Arabidopsis thaliana: one gene and its partner. The protein of the gene in region 2 binds, or shares a complex with, the protein of the main gene of each other region. Each region holds a gene or a part of one and is shown on either strand. Other genes may lie near its edges.

What was found.
Region 1: PSKR1 (region 2) and HA1 share a complex: the UniProt entries of both Arabidopsis thaliana proteins name them as parts of the functional complex.

Annotation. Positions count from the first base shown.
Region 1 is NC_003071.7:8,219,597-8,227,537, forward strand, and holds the start of HA1 (H[+]-ATPase 1), read left to right. Parts: upstream 1-1,917; 5' UTR 1,918-2,261; coding exon 2,262-2,303; intron 2,304-2,556; exon of another isoform or gene 2,557-3,581; coding exon 3,582-3,701; intron 3,702-3,794; coding exon 3,795-4,031; intron 4,032-4,115; coding exon 4,116-4,877; intron 4,878-4,972; coding exon 4,973-5,095; intron 5,096-5,173; coding exon 5,174-5,278; intron 5,279-5,369; coding exon 5,370-5,514; intron 5,515-5,603; coding exon 5,604-5,768; intron 5,769-5,860; coding exon 5,861-6,099; intron 6,100-6,193; coding exon 6,194-6,226; intron 6,227-6,316; coding exon 6,317-6,398; intron 6,399-6,485; coding exon 6,486-6,646; intron 6,647-6,775; coding exon 6,776-6,949; intron 6,950-7,033; coding exon 7,034-7,216; intron 7,217-7,302; coding exon 7,303-7,484; intron 7,485-7,575; coding exon 7,576-7,672; 3' UTR 7,673-7,941. UniProt on the Arabidopsis thaliana protein: The plasma membrane H(+) ATPase of plants and fungi generates a proton gradient that drives the active transport of nutrients by H(+)-symport. The resulting external acidification and/or internal alkinization may mediate growth responses.
Region 2 is NC_003071.7:583,277-589,307, reverse strand, and holds PSKR1 (phytosulfokin receptor 1), read left to right. Parts: upstream 1-1,906; 5' UTR 1,907-2,183; coding exon 2,184-5,210; 3' UTR 5,211-5,511; downstream 5,512-6,031. UniProt on the Arabidopsis thaliana protein: Phytosulfokine receptor with both a serine/threonine-protein kinase activity and a guanylate cyclase activity.

The sequences.
Region 1 (7,941 bases), 7.6 Mb from region 2:
TTTCCTTGTTATAAAAACAAAGAATATGACGAATAAATTTAACTTTTTGAAATCCTAAAAAAAAAAGCATACACATTTAAATAAATACTTTTATGTATTTACCTATGAAAGTTAAATTGATTTTGTCTATCAGATACATAAATGATCAAATAATAAATGAGAAAAACCTGCCCATATGTGCCGATATATATCCAGTTGAATTAAACCATCATCTTCTTGTTTCTTTGTTTTTAAAATTCTCTTATGAAATCGATCTTTTAGATAAAATACAATCGAATTTATGGAAGCAAGAAAAAAAAATTACGTAGGGGAGGTGTATTATTGGGGGACCCAGCACGATCAAAAAGTCAATATTCATCAGCCAATTTGCTGAATAAATAAATAAATAACCTTGAAAACAATTTTTGGTTAAATTACAAAAATAATGATATCCACAAACATGTGAATTGTTCCAGCAATTGCTGACCTTGCCATGAGGCACCTTGGAAGAGCCATTGCTTCATTACAATCCTTTAAAGCCATAAATATGAGATTAGGATTACCAAAATTTCACATATAACAAATTGTTTTATATCATTACTAGCTTAATATGTGTTTTATTATAGTTTTAGATCGACGTCATCTGAATATTTTCCCCCAAACTCCTAAATTTTATAATCTGTGTCTAAACCTAATTTTATATTTCAAAACATCCCTTTTTCTGGAAGAAACTTGTCTTTTAATTTTTTTTTTTTTTTTCACACTTGTCTTTTAATTTCCTTAAGAGACCAAATCAAGTTAATTTAGTGTACTCACCACCTTTAAAACAGGTCAAGTTAATTTATTTGAACATCAGTAATAAATTTATGAACATCTCTTTTCAACATCGGTATTCTTAAATAGTGTTTTAGAATCGTCATTTTAACTTTATGTTTCACTAAACTTAGAAAATATTTAGTTTTTTTTATCTCAATTAGTAATTATCATTTAAATTTTTATTTTCTCGGTTTCTACTTCGCCACTATTATTTAACATATTATTAAACAAATTAGTATTATACGGGTTGATTTTAATTTTCCAATTACAAATTAATTAAAATTCAACTTTTTGATTGGTTGTATAATCCGAAGGAAAAATGTTTACATACGAATTGTTTTAAAAACACTTTGATTTAAAAGTCCGACCTAAACAATCAACATGAAAATTAAACTTATGAGCAAATTAGGTTGATCTAGAAAATAACTTTTGCATTTGTCTCATAGGGAATTATAAAGTTAGTATCTACACACATATATCAAATATACATGTTATATCTATATTACTCTCTCTCTCTCTCTCTCTCTCTCTCTATATATATATATATATATATATATGTATATTCACAAATCCATGTATGTATTTTAAATTTTGTTTGTTTTTTTTTTCCTTCAAAATGAGTAACTTATATAGAAGTCATTAAGATTAGCTTTGCACAACTCTTTGGGAACAAAAAAGAACCCAAATTTTAAGCATTATTCAATGTTCATATAATTATTATGTATATTATTTTTCCTTATTGATTATCAATTTTATATACACAAAAAGATATCAGTGAAGAACTTATGATTGTGCATATTTTCTGTCCATACATAACCACAATATTAATCAAAAATTTAAATTTATCTTAGATATTTTTCTTATGATAATTCAATACTGTATAATTTTTTAAAATCTATACATTACAGTTTTGTCTTTTAAATCATATTCTAATATGCATAAATATCTAGAAAAATACTAACTCCATAGAATTAAATTTCTTATGTAAGTTTAGTATATTATCCTAAATTTGTGTTAATGTTAAGATTTCTACTAAATTTGATACTCAAAAGTAAAAAGTTTCTCTTAATAGAAAAAAATAAATATAGATTCTCTTACATTACAGGATCAGAGTATAAAACCAGTTTAAGTAAACAATGTTTCAAAAAACAGTATGATATCTGAAATTTTAATTATAAAACCAAAAATCCAAAGTCAAATATACGTTTTCCAAGTGAGAAAGGACCCATAAACAATTAACAACCATTGATGATCACCAAATCATAATCAACGGTCGAAATGAATGAAAAATAAAAGTCTGAAACGGTGGAGAGTTTCGTCGTTTTGAGTGGTTATAAAAAGAGAAGGCGTATATCTCCTCTGCAACAGAAGCTCGCTTTCTCTCTCTCTCTCTCGTGTGTGTGTGTGTGATCGAGTGGTGAAACGACAGAGAGGGGCGTCGTTTTGTTGATTTCTTCTGGGTGAAGATGTCAGGTCTCGAAGATATCAAGAACGAGACCGTTGATCTGGTATTATTTCGATTCTCTTCTCGCTTAAATTCTTCGAGTTTTTAATTTCATTTTTAGTGTTTATTCATCATGCCCACAAAGTGTTCGATGATTTGCTTGAATGAGAAATAGATCTGTTTCGTTGTTGTTCCTTGCATGGTTTCACGTTTGATTCTTTTACCCTTTTTTCTTCAAATCATTTTCCGATGATTCTACTCCTTTTTTCTTTGATCGAAAACTGAATCTTAATTCCTCAAGAACCCGAAAAATCCGCAAAAAAAAAAAAAACCGATTTTTCCCCCCAATTGTATCTGCCTCATTTTCGATGATTCTATCATGGATCCTATACAAAACCCAAATCAAGATTCCAACTTTATTAATTTTGGTCTAAAATTAGGGTAAAATAACAGATGTCTTTTAAAGGTTTTAGGTATTAAGCCAAAAATAAGTAGATTTTGATACTGTTCATCAGAAAAAGTAGATCTACCCAAAAACTACACACATGTGAAACGCTGAATAAAAAGATAAGTCTTTTTAGTGGTGGAGCTAAGCTTAAGCTACGTCTCAACAAAAGTCTCTTTCACATATTTATTAAAAGAGAAAAAAATCGCAAAAAGTTTGATTTTGCTTGTGATATATAACTTTCTTTCTCTAAAAAAAATCATCTTTTTTTTGTAAAGATAACGTTTTTGATGTTAAAGCAGTTCATAATATTCTTCTATCTTCCACCCATGAAAAATACCAGAGTTTTTAATAAATTTAAGTTTTCAACTTTTTTTTAAATTGTTGTTGATGTTCGAATTTTTTTGATGTACCTTTCCGTAGTACGTTTTTTTTTTTTTTGAACTTCTTTGTCCTTTTGTAAAACATCTATCAGTAGAAGCAACTTGTGAATTCCTCTATTGTAATTGATTTTGTTTAGTGAAATTGTTTTATGACCGAAATACCCTTAACCGGACTTTGGCTTTCACGCCGGAAAGTAGCCACCTTTCATGGAGGGAATCCCGCAGGCGCGTGTGTTACACGTTCCATAACACGTGCATTGAAGTAGTAGTAGTAGTGGTGGTGGTGGTGGTGGTCCCTCTATCCTCCACTGCCAGATTCTTTTCACCTTTCATTGTCACAACTTGAGTCAACGCCACTCTTCATCTTCCGAGTCGCCGAGTTGGATCGTTTCTGACATTTGTAAAAAGATTTCAAAACTAGAAAAGTTTTTGTCTTTTTTACCCTTTTGTTCTTGTTTGATGTTTGAGTTACTATTGTTTGGGTTCTGATCAAAACTTTTGCTTTGATTCTCAGGAAAAAATTCCGATTGAGGAAGTTTTCCAGCAGCTAAAATGTACAAGGGAAGGATTGACAACGCAGGAAGGGGAAGACAGGATTGTGATATTTGGCCCCAACAAGCTCGAAGAGAAGAAGGTTTGAGTTTGACTTAGCATTGTTGTTTTATCATCATTGAAAGCTTTGGTTTTGTTTAACTCACGAGGTTGATCTTTCGTAAAAAAATATCAGGAAAGCAAAATTCTGAAGTTTCTGGGGTTCATGTGGAATCCGCTTTCATGGGTTATGGAAGCTGCAGCTCTCATGGCCATTGCTTTGGCTAATGGTGATAATCGACCTCCGGATTGGCAAGATTTTGTGGGTATTATCTGTCTGCTTGTTATCAACTCCACAATCAGTTTCATTGAAGAAAACAACGCCGGAAATGCTGCAGCTGCTCTCATGGCTGGTCTTGCTCCTAAAACCAAGGTAATATGTTGGTGGATGCTGTGACATTACTGTACAAGATATTTCGAGACTTCTAGAGAGCTTAACCTGTTTCTCTGTTTTCAGGTTCTTAGGGATGGAAAATGGAGTGAACAAGAGGCTGCTATCCTTGTCCCAGGTGATATTGTTAGCATTAAACTTGGAGACATTATCCCAGCCGATGCCCGTCTTCTTGAAGGAGATCCTTTAAAGGTTGATCAGTCTGCTCTAACTGGAGAGTCCCTTCCTGTGACCAAGCACCCTGGTCAAGAAGTTTTCTCTGGTTCAACTTGTAAACAAGGAGAAATCGAAGCGGTTGTTATAGCCACTGGAGTTCACACCTTCTTTGGTAAAGCTGCTCACCTTGTGGACAGCACTAACCAAGTTGGGCACTTCCAGAAAGTTCTTACATCCATTGGAAACTTCTGTATCTGTTCTATTGCTATTGGTATAGCGATTGAAATAGTCGTCATGTACCCTATCCAACACCGAAAGTACAGAGATGGAATTGACAATCTCTTGGTCCTCTTGATCGGTGGTATCCCCATTGCTATGCCCACGGTCTTGTCTGTGACTATGGCTATCGGGTCTCACAGGTTGTCTCAGCAAGGTGCTATCACCAAACGTATGACAGCCATTGAAGAAATGGCGGGAATGGATGTCCTTTGCAGTGACAAAACCGGGACACTAACCCTTAATAAATTGAGTGTGGATAAAAACTTGGTTGAGGTTTTCTGCAAGGGTGTGGAGAAAGATCAAGTTCTACTATTTGCAGCTATGGCTTCTAGGGTGGAGAACCAGGACGCTATTGATGCAGCCATGGTTGGAATGCTTGCTGATCCGAAAGAGGTATAACTCTAATCATTTTGAATTACTTCTTTAGTTTAGTGAAAGGTCGAGAAAACAAGTTCTTAATTTCTTATGTTTCACTTGGATTTTCATAGGCCCGAGCTGGAATCAGAGAGGTTCACTTCCTTCCATTCAACCCTGTGGATAAGAGAACTGCTTTGACTTACATCGACTCTGATGGTAACTGGCACAGAGTCAGCAAAGGTGCTCCCGAGCAGGTGATGAATCTTCAACTTTCTCCTAAAGATGTTGCGTTTTTCCTTTATTCTGTGTACTAATTCGATTCTCCCACACAGATCCTTGACCTTGCCAATGCCAGGCCTGACCTTAGGAAGAAGGTACTCTCTTGTATTGACAAGTACGCTGAGCGCGGTCTTAGGTCGTTGGCAGTAGCTCGTCAGGTACTTTTTTACAAGCAATTTTTACATTGGTCTTATTTGGGTTTTTTTTTTGGCCTGTAAATCAACTGTTTAATTGCATATTCCTTTTTAGGTGGTACCCGAGAAAACAAAAGAAAGCCCAGGTGGACCATGGGAATTTGTTGGCTTGTTGCCTCTTTTTGACCCTCCAAGACACGACAGTGCCGAAACCATTCGTAGGGCGTTGAATCTAGGTGTTAATGTGAAGATGATCACTGGTAACTATTCTTATTCATCATTTTTTTCCCATGAAATCCATGGTTATTTAGATGTTTTCCCCTAACTTGCGCTCTAACTACGTTGCCAGGTGATCAACTTGCTATTGGTAAGGAAACCGGTCGCAGGCTTGGAATGGGAACCAATATGTATCCATCTGCGGCTCTTCTCGGTACCGACAAGGACTCGAACATTGCATCCATCCCTGTTGAGGAGTTGATCGAGAAGGCTGATGGGTTTGCCGGCGTCTTTCCAGGTTATGCCTTGCTTTCAGTTTCAAACCTCATCACATGTTCATTATAAAGTTTTGTTATATTGATCCAAGGTTCTTATGGTTACTGATTGCAGAGCACAAATATGAAATTGTGAAAAAGCTGCAGGAGAGGAAGCACATTGTTGGTATGACCGGTGATGGTGTTAATGATGCACCCGCTTTGAAGAAAGCAGATATCGGTATTGCTGTGGCCGATGCTACAGATGCTGCTCGTGGTGCTTCAGATATCGTCCTCACGGAACCTGGGCTGAGTGTCATCATCAGTGCCGTTCTCACTAGCAGAGCTATCTTCCAGAGAATGAAGAACTACACCGTGCGTATTCTTAATCTCACTCTAATATATTATGCCCACCACTTGTGTTCGTTTGCGCTGGAAACTAATAATTTTAGTTTCCTGCTTGTGACAGATTTATGCAGTCTCAATCACAATCCGTATTGTGGTAAGTAGAAACCCGTTTTACAAATCTATCACTTGTTTAGCATGATTTTACTTTTTGTATACTGATCATATTGCGTTGTAACTCTTGCAGTTTGGTTTCATGCTTATTGCTTTGATATGGGAATTTGACTTCTCAGCGTTCATGGTTCTGATTATTGCCATCCTTAATGATGGTGAGCAAATAACATCCTACTTTTCTAGACAGCGTCCTCACTCGTTATCAGCTATATCTTATGGTATTATGTGTTACTACCTTTTAGGTACTATCATGACAATCTCAAAGGACAGAGTCAAGCCATCTCCCACACCTGATAGCTGGAAGCTCAAAGAAATTTTCGCCACTGGAATTGTGCTGGGAGGCTACCAAGCCATTATGAGTGTTATTTTCTTCTGGGCTGCTCACAAGACCGACTTTTTCTCGGTACATCATCAGTTTATTTTCATTTCTTTTCTCTTTTTTTTGGTACAGGTGCTTCAGGGACTATATAGATATATATGGCCAGGCCTTTTGCTCTGAGTCTTAAAAAATTGTCTCACCTTCGATTTGCAGGACAAGTTCGGTGTGAGGTCAATCAGGGACAATAACGATGAACTAATGGGTGCTGTGTATCTACAAGTTAGTATCATCAGTCAAGCTCTAATCTTTGTCACCAGGTCAAGGAGTTGGTCATTTGTCGAACGTCCTGGGGCGCTTCTGATGATTGCATTCGTCATTGCACAACTGGTAAGGACATCAAGCACACATATTTTCTGAACTTCGATTAGGTTAAAGAAACCCACTGAATTCATTCACTCCTTCCAAATGCAGGTTGCAACTTTGATCGCAGTGTATGCCGACTGGACATTTGCAAAGGTGAAGGGTATCGGTTGGGGATGGGCAGGTGTGATTTGGATTTACAGTATCGTAACATACTTCCCACAGGACATTTTGAAGTTTGCCATTCGGTATATCTTGAGTGGAAAGGCTTGGGCCAGCTTGTTTGACAACAGGGTACATACAAGTCTATCTACCACTATAGAGACCTCTTTTACAAGCTGATGGTAACATACTAATCACATCTTCTTCTATGTTAACAGACCGCTTTCACAACCAAGAAAGATTACGGTATTGGAGAAAGAGAAGCTCAATGGGCACAAGCTCAAAGGACATTGCACGGTCTGCAGCCAAAAGAAGATGTTAATATCTTCCCAGAGAAAGGAAGTTACAGAGAGCTGTCTGAGATCGCAGAGCAAGCCAAGAGAAGGGCCGAGATAGCTAGGTAAGTAGTGTGATTAAAACGAATCTCAACGGAAAGATGCCATTTGATAGAGGTTCTGATTGGTGAATGATTTAATATTATGTTGTGACAGGCTTAGGGAGCTTCACACATTGAAGGGACATGTGGAATCAGTCGCAAAGCTAAAGGGATTGGACATTGATACAGCAGGACATCACTACACTGTGTAGTTGGAGTTGCACAACAACACAAACATTTACCGAAAACCAACCCCATCATGACTCATCTTTTGTTTTGTCTTCACAAATCTCTCTTTAAAAGTCATTACAGTAGAGGGAAGAGAACTCTTGTGTATTGCCATAACTCTTCCAAAACTCTTTTTTCTTTTTGTTATTGTTAGTCATTGTTCTTAAAACTCCTACTCGATATGAGCTTTGCAAATTTGCCTTTGAAGAAACAAGGCCCTTTGCCTTTGAAGAGACAAGGCACTTTGCTTTTT
Region 2 (6,031 bases):
AACCTATAAAAGACTAACGAAAGCCGATTATATCGAAGCCATTACGAGCCACATGGTATTGAAGATTAATTATAGAGTTGAATAGTCGATGTCACATGCTTTGACTGTCTCCTTCATTATAGATATCGACATTAATATTTTATTATTAACATGGAATCGTATCTTAACTTTTCCACGTAAAACAATATTTAATCTCTTTATGAAAGATCATGCACACACTAGGAAAACTATATAAGTGATTTCTTATATGGTAAACCAACTTTGAATGTAGGCTAATTAGTTTATTAAGCAATATAGTCTTTTATGTCTATGTTCAATTCACCATTCACCCATATTGTCCTCATTTACTTATAAATCAAGTAAACCATCAAAGAAAGTTGTGTAAACAGCCTATTTTTCTTTAAGAAATAAATCATGGCAAGAAAATGTGAGACTTTTTGGTTTTATTTTGTTAAAATGACAATCTATTATCCTTTTCTTTTTTTCGAACAATCTATAACGTGTATATTACTACAAAGGTATAAGAGAATCCATTTTTTAACTGCCAAGATTAATTTTTTTTTTTCGATTCTTTCCAATTAATTAATAACGGATTCTATCGACAAAATTTAGGATAGCGTTACATATAAAAGTAATATTAACGCATCCTAAATTTGTCGTTTTTAAAAGAAAAAAGTATTAACGACAAAAAATAATCCTTTAGCAATGAAAATTGGTGATAAAAAAACTGAAGAAAAAAGCAATGAAATTTATGTTCCTATACCGACTATTTTTTAGTTTCTTTTATATAAAATATAAAATAGTTTATATATAACCGTTCTTTTATTTTTTTATCGTCTACAACTCACATACGTTACACTTTTATAGTTATACTTCTAAATTAGAAGTCAAGTTATTGTATAGTGATATTATAAACTTCAAGTTATACAAGTCCGGTCATATGAAATTAATATTAGTAATTTGATTGGAATTATAACGTATTGATTTGGACATGTAAATAGCTAAAAAAAAATAGCTCCTATATTAGATTCTTTTAACCAACAAATACAACAATTAAGTTGATAACCTTCCTCTTTGAAGTATTTCAAGATTTTATGGAAAAAACTCAAGATTTTTTTCCGAAGCTTTTATCGGAAACTAAAGAATATCTAGTAGGTCTATTTTCATTCATTATCAACTTGCGAAAAAAGAGAAACAATGTCAATAATTAATGTAAATAGAAAAAAAAAAAAATTGTAGTTGAGAAGAGAGAGAGATGCAAAGGTGTCAACGTCCGTGCTTTGACTTCTATCTTTTCTCTTGTCCTCATCTTAAATCCTCAAAGCTGACCTAACCGGTCACTCCCTTCTTCTCCGGTCATCTTTAATTATTATTCAATTAACCCATAATCAAATTTTAATATAAAAATTAACCATTTGCAAAATAAAATCAATATAATTAATAAAAGCTACTCCTTTACCTTTTTATTGCATAGAAACTACTAAAATATAAATCTACCATTTGCAGAATAATCGGCAAAAAACCATAAAGAAACATTTATAGTCACATAATTTTGCATATATTTTTCTAAATTCGATCACTTTCATCATTCATTATTCATTAATCGTTCCAAATTTTCTTCTGCCTATCCGTTGAACGACAAACTATTCAAAGTAAAAGATTTAGACAAAAAAATAAAAAAAATATTTAGAGAAAGACTTTCCTAAGTCAATGTTATTGATTAAGACTTCATATATGACTAAACACACTCAATTATAATTGACAAAACACGGAAAAGATTTGTCTATAACAAATTTTCCAAAAACACAAATTAATTCACAAAATATTTGGAAAAATAATATTTATTCAAAGCTTCTTATTTCTTCTTCTTCTTTATTTAAAGATTTTTACTGTTTGCTCTGTATCAGAAAAAAGACCAAACACAACTCTTCCACTTTCTATCTCTCTCTAGAATTTTGCTTGCATTAAAACAACACCCACTACTTGCTGTTGCGTGTTGAAGTCAAAAGTCGCCATTTTTCTCTCTCTTGCTTCTTCATCTTCATTGATCATCATCTAAAATGGCAATAATCAGAAAACCCGTTTCGTATACTCTCAGATTTCTCAAGGGTTTTTGTTGAATCTTAATTCTTCTCTCAAAGTTTCTTCCTTTATATTCTTCTTCTTCTTCCTCTGTTCTTGAAATGCGTGTTCATCGTTTTTGTGTGATCGTCATCTTCCTCACAGAGTTACTATGTTTCTTCTATTCCTCGGAATCTCAGACCACCTCCAGGTGCCATCCACATGACCTCGAAGCCTTACGTGACTTCATAGCACATCTCGAACCAAAACCAGATGGTTGGATCAATTCTTCTTCTTCTACAGACTGCTGCAACTGGACCGGAATCACCTGCAATTCAAACAACACCGGAAGAGTTATTAGATTGGAGCTTGGGAACAAAAAGCTGTCGGGGAAGTTGTCTGAATCTCTCGGGAAGCTAGATGAGATTAGGGTTCTTAATCTCTCTCGAAACTTCATCAAAGATTCGATCCCTCTTTCGATTTTCAACTTGAAGAATCTACAAACTCTTGATTTGAGCTCTAATGATCTCTCCGGCGGAATCCCAACAAGTATAAATCTCCCAGCTCTGCAAAGTTTTGATCTTTCTTCAAATAAATTCAATGGGTCGCTTCCGTCTCATATCTGCCATAACTCTACTCAAATTAGGGTTGTGAAACTTGCGGTGAACTACTTCGCCGGAAACTTCACTTCCGGGTTTGGGAAATGTGTCTTGCTTGAGCATCTCTGTCTTGGTATGAACGATCTTACTGGTAACATCCCTGAGGATTTGTTTCATCTCAAAAGATTGAATCTTTTAGGGATTCAAGAGAATCGTCTCTCTGGTTCGTTGAGTCGTGAGATTAGGAATCTCTCAAGTCTTGTTCGTCTTGATGTTTCTTGGAATTTGTTTTCCGGTGAAATCCCTGATGTGTTCGACGAATTGCCTCAGTTAAAGTTTTTCTTAGGTCAGACCAATGGATTCATTGGAGGAATACCTAAATCGTTGGCGAATTCACCGAGTTTGAATCTGCTTAACTTGAGGAACAATTCTTTATCGGGTCGTTTGATGTTGAATTGTACGGCGATGATTGCTTTGAACTCTCTTGATTTAGGTACCAATAGATTCAATGGGAGGTTACCTGAGAATCTACCGGATTGCAAGCGGTTAAAGAACGTTAACCTCGCGAGGAACACCTTCCATGGACAAGTACCAGAGAGTTTCAAGAACTTCGAGAGCTTATCTTACTTCTCGTTATCGAATTCGAGTTTGGCTAATATCTCTTCAGCGCTTGGGATACTTCAGCATTGCAAGAACTTGACGACTTTGGTTCTTACATTGAATTTCCATGGAGAGGCTTTACCCGATGATTCAAGTCTTCATTTCGAGAAGCTTAAGGTGCTTGTAGTGGCGAATTGTAGGCTTACTGGTTCGATGCCGAGGTGGTTAAGCTCGAGTAATGAACTTCAGTTGTTGGATCTTTCTTGGAACCGTTTAACCGGCGCTATCCCGAGCTGGATTGGTGACTTCAAGGCTCTGTTCTACTTGGATTTATCTAACAACTCGTTTACAGGAGAGATCCCTAAGAGCTTAACTAAGTTAGAGAGTCTCACTAGCCGTAATATCTCAGTCAATGAGCCATCTCCTGATTTCCCGTTCTTTATGAAAAGAAACGAGAGCGCGAGAGCGTTGCAATACAATCAGATTTTCGGGTTCCCGCCAACGATTGAGCTTGGTCATAACAATCTCTCTGGACCTATTTGGGAGGAGTTTGGTAATCTGAAGAAGCTTCATGTGTTTGATTTGAAATGGAATGCATTATCTGGATCAATACCTAGCTCGCTTTCTGGTATGACGAGCTTGGAAGCTCTTGATCTCTCTAATAACCGTCTTTCGGGTTCGATCCCGGTTTCTCTGCAACAGCTCTCGTTTCTGTCGAAGTTCAGTGTTGCTTATAACAATCTCTCGGGAGTAATACCTTCCGGTGGTCAGTTTCAGACGTTTCCAAACTCGAGCTTTGAGAGTAACCATCTCTGCGGGGAACACAGATTCCCCTGTTCTGAAGGTACTGAGAGTGCATTGATCAAACGGTCAAGAAGAAGCAGAGGAGGTGACATTGGAATGGCGATTGGGATAGCGTTTGGTTCGGTTTTTCTTTTGACTCTTCTCTCGTTGATTGTGTTGCGTGCTCGTAGACGGTCAGGAGAAGTTGATCCGGAGATAGAAGAATCCGAGAGCATGAATCGTAAAGAACTCGGAGAGATTGGATCTAAGCTTGTGGTTTTGTTTCAGAGCAATGATAAAGAGCTCTCTTATGATGACCTTTTGGACTCAACAAATAGTTTTGATCAAGCTAACATCATTGGCTGTGGCGGGTTTGGTATGGTTTACAAAGCAACGTTACCAGACGGTAAGAAAGTTGCGATCAAGAAGTTATCCGGTGATTGCGGTCAAATCGAAAGAGAATTCGAAGCAGAAGTTGAAACACTCTCAAGAGCACAGCATCCAAATCTTGTTCTTCTCCGAGGATTCTGTTTCTACAAAAACGACCGGCTTTTAATCTACTCGTATATGGAAAACGGAAGCTTAGACTATTGGCTACACGAGCGTAACGACGGTCCAGCGTTGTTGAAGTGGAAAACACGTCTTAGAATCGCTCAAGGTGCTGCAAAAGGGTTACTTTACTTGCATGAAGGGTGTGATCCTCATATCTTACACCGCGATATTAAATCGAGTAATATTCTTCTCGACGAGAATTTCAACTCTCATTTAGCGGATTTCGGACTCGCAAGGCTGATGAGTCCTTACGAGACGCATGTAAGTACTGATTTGGTTGGAACTTTAGGTTACATTCCTCCGGAATACGGGCAAGCTTCGGTTGCTACTTACAAAGGCGATGTGTATAGTTTCGGAGTTGTGCTTCTCGAGCTTTTAACCGATAAAAGACCGGTGGATATGTGTAAACCGAAAGGGTGTAGGGATCTGATCTCGTGGGTCGTCAAGATGAAGCATGAGAGTCGAGCAAGCGAGGTTTTCGATCCGTTAATATACAGTAAAGAGAATGATAAAGAGATGTTTCGGGTTCTCGAGATTGCTTGTTTATGTTTAAGCGAAAACCCGAAACAGAGGCCAACGACTCAACAGTTAGTCTCTTGGCTTGATGATGTCTAGAAGAAAGAGGAACAATATCAGAGACACTATGATACATTTTGTAGGGAGTGATTTTCATACTTTTGAGATACAATGTAAATAGTTTTCAGATAATAATTTGTTTCTTCGTTTTCTTCTTCCATTTTTTTTATCTCAGTTTATGATTCAGATTCAGACATTAAAGATACTAGACAGAACATATACTGTCTCAGAAAAATGAAAAATCTTTTTGTAGTGTTTCAGAAATAATGAGTTCTTGAAAAAACATGTCTCAAGCAATTTAAATGAGCAACATAGATTAATAATTTGTGTTACATCTTTATTCTGTGATTTGCTTTGTGGATACTCTGTTGATTATGTTATACCTTTTAGAGATTTTTGGTTTAATTAAAAAATATATATATTTGGTAGCTAAATTCCTTTTGGTCTTCAACAAAAGAATTCCTTTTGGCCAACTATAGTCAATTTTTTGTTAAGAATCCATTACATTAACTTATTTTTTATGGGTGTGAAAATATTGTTCAACTCATTTGACCAAAAGAATTCAAAGATTATGACTTTGTAAGGTCAAAATATAATATTTGCTTCATTAGAAAGGTTTTCTATATATCGATTTCTCAGTCCCCAAAGACCACAAATTTATAGATTAGTACGCTTCCTATAATGGTTCCTTAAAAATTTTCAAAGATTGACTACAGATTCGATAGTGAAGATGTTCACTTCTGGCTTTTCTTCCACACTACATGAAAACAGCCAAAAATATAACAAATAAAATACAAGGAAAAAGAAAAAGAGCATTAAAAGTTTAAAACTTATGTATGATGATAAATATAAAAAAAAAT